Nothobranchius furzeri: one gene and its partner. The protein of the gene in region 1 purifies or fractionates together with the protein of each later gene. This does not show direct contact. Links are inferred from orthologs where the notes say so. Each region holds a gene or a part of one and is shown on either strand. Other genes may lie near its edges.

Region 1 (3,651 bases):
GTCTCAGATCAAAGTTCTCAGCAATGCCTCCAGTGAAATCCTCAAATCCCTCAGTGGTGGAACCGCCGGACAGCGCCTCATAGCAGCCATTAACTCTGCAAACACATGGCACCATGTCACAGCCCAAACCTAGTTAGGAGTAAAGTTGTTGGAAGGTTCTGCACGACGTTCTCACTTAGCGTAGGCTTTCTCCAGCAGGGCGCTCCAGAACTCCCTCCCCTCTGCTGAGTGGACGAACAACAACTCTCCGTCTTTGACCGGCAGACGGTCATCGATTACCACGTCCACCCACTCCCCAAACTGCCAGAACTGCAGACGAACAGACAGAAACCTGAAACACCACACACACGTCCTACAGATAGAACCGTTAAATACTGCATCGATCAGGCACCCAATGCCAAAAAGGCCACATGATTGGTAACACCTAAATGATATCTGTTAGGGGTTCTTGATTAACTGACTGATGTCACATGTAGGAATGATGAGTGCTAGAACACCCGTTACCTGGAAGTGAAAGATTCCTGCGTAGTTCTGACCAAAGCTCTGGTCCTGGGGAACGACTCGGGCCATCACAAACTCGTTCAAGGTCAGAGAAGCGATGGCAGCCAGCAGCCAGCAGTCACCTGGAGAACATGAACCACTGTTACTCTGGGTTTCATCTTCCTCCTACCATCTGTTGGGTAATTTTATCAATCCAAGACAGTGGCGTGTCCAGATCTTTTAAAATGGGGTGGCCCAGGTGAGGCACAACTTTGTGCATGGGTGGCACCAATGGTTATGCTTTTTTTTTGCTTCACCCCCAAGCCTTTGTGGACAATGAAAAGCCTATTTAAAGGTAAATTAGTGTGGTGGCACCTGGGGTGGCCAATCAGATTCCAAGGGTGGCATGTGCTACCCCAGGCCACTCCCTGGACACGCCCCTGATCCAAGATTACCTCAGGGAAAGTTTAAAGCACAGGGGTTATAGTAATCAATCAATCAATCAACACCAATACCAATCATAAACAATCAATTTAGACTTTGCAAAGTGGAGAGGAAATGAATACACACCAAGCTCGGGTCTCAGTTCACTCTCATCAGGCTTCCGGCAGCATTTATTAAGCACACACACACACACACACATTTTGACATTCCTTAGACTCTCAGGCATAAAGCTGTAAAAGGGAGTCTAAACTTTCTCCAGGTGCACCCTAAGGCCTAGTCCACACGTAGCCGGGTTTGTTAAAAACGAATATCCGCCCCTCCAAAAACTTGCATCCACACCACCTCGTTTAAACAAAAACTCTGTCCACACGTACCCGGATAAATACGTTGTTAAGGACATGCCAGACCTGTAGGCGGCAGTACTTCCCCCGTTCTTAACCTCGTCCTTCGTCTGTGGTCTTCCGCAAGGAGCAGTAATTCCGCTTGCAAAAACAAACAAGCAGAAAGCGCTTGGACAATTGATAAAGCGAGCGCAGCTCTGAGGGCATCCATGATGTCGGCTAGTGTAAACACAGGTCGCACACGTGATGTCAGCAGTTTTTTGTCGCGGAAAGTGACGTTGCGGACCTTAAAACTCTGGTTTTGTCCGTCCACACACAGACACCCAAAACGGAGAAAACGCAGATCTTCACTTTGGCCGGAGTTTTTAAAAAACTCCGTTTTCGTGTGAAAAAGATCCGTTTTCGTGTGGATGACAGGCCAAAGCGTAGAAAAATATCTACGATTTGGCAGATCCCCGGCTACATGTGGACAGGGCCCTTGCTAGACTTTTCTCAAGGGAGTTTTACTGAAAGGTCGGTGCCGAGGCAAGGTCATCCTCCTCGTAAAATCCACTCCTCCCTGTAAGACCTACTGGAGCCTGGTATCCATCGACAGAATGAAAAGGATGAAGCTACGTTCAATAAAACACCAGATGTTTAACAGTCAAGACATTAACATTAGTTCAATAATAATAATAATAATAATAATAATATCAGTTTTTATCTAACACCATCTAATGCCCCTACATCAGTGATACCCAACTCCCTTCTGCGAGGGCCGGCATCCAGCATGTTTCACTGTTTTCCCGGCTTCAACACACCTGATTTCAATTAGCAGGTAATGAACAGGTTTCGGCAGAGCGTGATGGGCTGCTGAACAGGTGAATCAAGTGTGCTGGATTAGGGAAACAATTAAAACACGCTGGATACTGGGCCTCGGGGAAAAGAGTTGGGGATCACTATCCTATAGTCCTGGGCTGTGGTTCTCAATCCTGGTCCTGGAGGGCTGGTATTCAGCACATTTTAGTTGTTTCTCTGCTCCAACACACTTTATTCAGTGAATGACCTGTTCAGCACCTGTTCAGCAGCTCATCGGGCTCTGCTGGTTGAAATCCAGTGTGTTGATGCAGGGCTACAACTAGAACACGCTGAATACATGCCCTCCAGGGCCAGGAGTGAGGAGCACTGCTCTGTTGCCCCGACAGTCTAGTGATCCCTATATTCTAATGCCCCTATAGTCTAGTTCAGGGATAGGCAACCCTGGTCCTAGAGAGCTGCATGTGTTCCAGCCACGCATGAACTTGCAGCTTCTAATTGGCTGAACACACCTGATCCAGGTAACAACAGCAGGAACAACAAAGATAGTTGGAAAGCAAGCAGGACCAGGGTTGTCTACCGCTGGTCTAGTTCATGGCTATTTAATTCTGGACCTGAGGGTTGGCTACCTGCATGTTTTCTATCTTACCTTTACCAACACACCTGGTTAGTAAACACACCTGGTTAATAAACACACCTGGTTAATAAACACACCTGGTTAGTAAACACACCTGGTTAATAAACACACCTGGTTAGTAAACACACCTGGTTAATAAACACACCTGGTTAGTAAACACACCTGGTTAATAAACACACCTGGTTAGTAAACACACCTGGTTAATAAACACACCTGGTTAGTAAACACACCTGGTTAATAAACACACCTGGTTAGTAAACACACCTGGTTAGTAAACACACCTGGTTAATAAAGCTTCTTTACAAACAAAATTGGTTCTGGAAACTGTGAAAGTTGCATTCTGTGATTTAAATAAAAAACACGACTCTTGCGTTACGTAAGCACATTTTAGAGATTGGGAAACTAGAGCTGGTAAGATGGTGACATGGTGAATTTGAGCTACTTTTAGCCACATTAACAGACTTGTAGATCCTCACACGCACGTGTCCACCAGTCAGCACGTTTCTAGGAAAAGTGTGATTCAAAAAGCAGGAACTGCATGTTTTAAAGGTCTGAACATTACTTTGCATAAGTACTTTTGTTGCTTAGCTTACGTAGAGTTTTAGTAAACATTCTCTGAAGAAGTGACTCTTAACTCAGGTGTGTTGGAGCAGGACAACAGCTGACACATGCAGGTAGAGGCCCTCCATGGCCAGGCTTTAGTAGATCTGATCTACAGGGCCTTACAGAGGTGGAATCTGGACCACACGAGGAACCGTGTCTGAACTGGTCCTGAAAACCACAACCATGCAGAGATGCTGTGTTGCAGGAGGAGGTCTCACTCTGCAGCCAAAAATCCTCCAACAACTGAAAACAAACTTTAGCACAAAGTTCCACAGAGAGGGAGTCAGATGTCTGATGTGGGTTCTGTCGGCATGACGATGAGTCACAGCACTTGCAAGGGCGTGTGTGTGT
Region 2 (3,751 bases), on another chromosome or scaffold:
CGAGCACAAGCAGATTGATAAAAGCAGGTCTGATGTCTGCAGGTCGCTGATTTTAAAAGTTTATGTACCAGAGCTAAAGCTTTTTCTGAGTCTCCGACATAAGAGGAGTACAGGTCAGCCCCGCTGACAGACAGGAAGGCACAGTGGGAGAAGGAGGCGGCAGCTTTCACCAGCGTCGTCTTTGCACATCCTGGCGGTCCATAAAGCAGAACGCCATGGGGCCGACTCAGTCCTAGACGCACAAACGCCTCGGGGTACCTCATGGGCCACTCAATGCTCTTTAAAAGGCAATATGGAGAGGAGGTTTTGAGTGTTATAGTTTCAGTCACCCCCCCCCCCCCCATTTAGCTACCTGTCTTAGTTTGACTTTGACCTGATCCAGGCCTCCTATGTGCTCCCACAACACGGAGGACAGCTCCGTCCGGCCAAGGCTGCTCCTCAAGCTGGAGGGATGCACGGACTTCAGAGCCTCCAGGAAGTGTTTCATCTCCACCTCCTGCTTCCCTGAACCCTGCAGACATAACAACAACAACGAAGCTTAAGATGCATGTAGAGAATTCACAGAAACAGTTCAAATGTCATTGTTCTGCTTCAGTGCCAGTTTACCTTCACTTTTTGCCTTAAAGCGTGCATGGCCGCCTCCCTGCACAGAGCACTCAGGTCGGCCCCAACGTACCCTGTGGTGATTTGTGCAAGTTCTGTCATGTTGAGCCTGGGACACACAGGCATCCTCTCACACAGGACGGTCAGGATGGCCTTTCTCTGCTGCACGGTTGGAGCACCAATAATGACCTGGAGGAGAGACAAACACTCACAGCTCAAAGCTTTATTCTGTTTCTAATTCACTCTGATAAACACATTTAAAAAGTACCTCTCGGTCAAATCTCCCAGGCCTCCGCAGCGCTGGGTCCAAACTGTCAGGGCGATTAGTGGCTCCTACGATGAGGAAGCGGTCAGACCGATTCATCCCATCCATCAGTGTAAGCAGCTGAGCCACCAGCCGGTTCTCTGGTGCAGACGAGCCGGTTCTCCTGGGAAACAACGAGTCCAGCTCATCTAAGAAGAGCACACAGGGACCCTCTTCTGCTGCTGATCGAGCACGCTCAAACACAGCCCGCAGCGTCTCCTCGCTCTCGCCCGGTCGAGATCCTACCACCTGGAAGAACAGTTCACCACCAATAAATCAGATGTAAATGAGAACAGCCATTTCAATCTGCACTAAATAACCTTTCTGCTGGGTTAAACGTTGCTGTTTGTTTTGTCTCTAGTATAAAAGTATAGTATAAAAGTCTGTATAAGCCGTCAACATTAATAGTTTGCGCAACAGAATGGCATCTGAAAAAAATGTATTTGCCTCTTTGACTTTTCTTCTGTCATGTAGCTTTATTTAAATTCTTGACCATTTCAGTAAACTTATATATTTCCTGTGTGTAAAATATGACTTCCTGACAGTGTTTTATTGTTTTGCTACTCATCCATATCAGTGCAAACACACAGTAGTACCTCTGGCCCTCGGACCACCACCAGGCTGGCTCCCACCTCCCCAACCACCTTGTGGACCAACAGGGTTTTGCCGACTCCAGGAGGCCCGATCAGCAGAACGCCCCTGGGGCAGGACACCCCCAGGGAGCTGAGGGTGTTTGGGTACATCAGGGGCAGCTGCAGCATCTCTCTCAGAGAAGCACTCACCTACAAAGGAAAACGGTTTCAGCTTTTATCACTATAATAGTAAGTTATGCTCAAACAGCTGACCTCGTCCAGTCCTCCCAGTGGGGGCGTGTGCTGGTCCAGTAGCTGGCTCTTGTAATGCCTGAGAGTCTGGATCCCGGATATCTCCACAGCTGTTTTTGAGGTAACCATACCTGCACTGTCAGAGTCCGGTCTGATTCCGTCTATAACAACAAACCTGATCTCTGTATCATAGTCCTCCATGTTTACCACATACTGCTTGTGAACATAAACACCCTTCAGCATGTCCTTCACGAGCTCATGAACAACCCAAGCGGGTGTGTGCTTCCTAAAGCCAGCGCTCTGCACCACCACCGTTACCTTAACTCCCCTCAGTTTAGGGCAGGACACAGGTGTGAGATGGCGTGGCTCCAGACTCAGGTGCACGGGAGGCTGAGAGATCAAAGTGGGAGCGATACACTTCAGGTCCATCTGCAGGAACCCCTCCGCCAGGTCCGAACGGGGCCAGGCGGTACAGAGGCAGCTCCCCCCGGGAACAGACACCAGCAGAGGAGAGCCTAGTCTCAGGCTTAGCGCCGACATCAAGCCCGGACCCAGCCGGCACCTCTGAGAGCCCCGGTCAGCGGGGTCCGGCAGCAGAAGCTTCACACGCTGCATCGTCCGCCAACAACATGAAGCGGGTAAAGATTAGAACAAGACTTTGTGGTTTTCAGTAGATTATCCTGTTTACAGCCGCCGTCATTCCTGCTCAGTCTGCATGAAAAACTGAGGAACTGAGTCTGCGCAGTGGAAACGTGGGTTTGAGTCTGCGGCTGCGCAGTAGAGTGAAATAGAAAGTCACGCCCACTGACGTAGACAAGTGTTTATATCGGTTTAGAAACATTTCTATTGTCCAGTCCTCAGGTGCCTCAGGCGTGATGGACTGAGACAGTTTTTGACCGTGTCAGGTGAATTTGGGAATTTATGGACACTATATTTTGTGAAACAAGTTAATAGATTACAACTCTTTTATTTGAATGAAAAGACTGAGGAGCACTCATTTTACACGTGCGTGCCAAATTATCACCAGTGGTGAATGAGATTCTACTGAAGAAACTTTGGTTTTAAAATTAGAGCTGAATAAAGAGACAGGAAATAGAAAATCATTTGAATTCAGTGACGTGCGGTGAGGTTCATGACTGGGGAGGCACCGACTGCTCTCAAGTAAGACTTACATATATGATCCCGAAATAAAAGTTTGTTTGCTTTTGACCTTGACTTAAATATGTTATTGTTTTAAAGCTTCTTGGTTATGATTTAATCAATTTGGCCCCACACGGGCTTCTTTTTAATTCTGTTATTTGTCTGCAGTTGGTGTAGAACTGTTGTTACAAATTCATTTGCCCTAACATTATAATCTAGTCCAGTTTAAAGTGTTTAAATGTTGGAGTTTTAGAGCTGGACAAGTTCAAACGTGGTCAAGATGACAAAAAACTACAGCATATGCGTTTCAATAAACTCATTAGGTAAATGCTTCACAACTCCCAAAGTTACAGGATAATGCAGAATAATCAAGTCCGTTTCTGGTGTTTAACCCTCTGTCGGTGGTGTGACTACTGGTAGCCGTTTTGACAAGTTTTAGTGTTCACCTTTAAATTAAACCATATTTTACTGTTAATGCCTTGTTTGGTATCATTCTTTTCAGCAAAACCTCGTCTATGTGCATTTAGTCATTTCTTCATTTTGTCATACTGTATTAGCTCACTGAACCTGAAAGTAAACAAAATAAAATAAAAATCCGAGTTGAATAAAATGACATATTTATTGCAGTGAAAACGACGAACATTTGTAACGAACCTTTTTCAGCACTCAGAATAAAACTATTGGGTGTGAGTAAAACACAAAAAATGCATGTCTAATATAGCAAACAACAGTTAAGTGCAAGTTTTTTTTGCATACAAATGCAATGTCTCAGGCATTTCTCATGTAAAATTACCGTTTTGCTGAATATATATATATATATATATATATATATATATATATATATATATATATATATATATATATATATATATATATATAT

The links. Proteins that work in one complex are often made in the same cells at the same time.
Region 2: the proteins of calpain-2 catalytic subunit (region 1) and afg2b purify together in Homo sapiens (co-immunoprecipitation; 3 studies listed by BioGRID and IntAct, with this or other methods). This does not show direct contact. The link is inferred for Nothobranchius furzeri from reciprocal best matches to the Homo sapiens genes CAPN2 and AFG2B.

Annotation. Positions count from the first base shown.
Region 1 is NC_091746.1:29,426,345-29,429,995, reverse strand, and holds part of calpain-2 catalytic subunit, read right to left. Parts: intron 624-3,651; coding exon 505-623; intron 310-504; coding exon 176-309; intron 96-175; coding exon 1-95. UniProt on the Homo sapiens protein: Calcium-regulated non-lysosomal thiol-protease which catalyzes limited proteolysis of substrates involved in cytoskeletal remodeling and signal transduction. Proteolytically cleaves MYOC at 'Arg-226'.
Region 2 is NC_091749.1:43,208,230-43,211,980, reverse strand, and holds the start of afg2b (ATPase family gene 2 protein homolog B), read right to left. Parts: upstream 2,483-3,751; 5' UTR 2,347-2,482; coding exon 1,753-2,346; intron 1,690-1,752; coding exon 1,504-1,689; intron 1,157-1,503; coding exon 872-1,156; intron 793-871; coding exon 607-792; intron 512-606; coding exon 353-511; intron 279-352; coding exon 69-278; intron 1-68. UniProt on the Homo sapiens protein: ATP-dependent chaperone part of the 55LCC heterohexameric ATPase complex which is chromatin-associated and promotes replisome proteostasis to maintain replication fork progression and genome stability.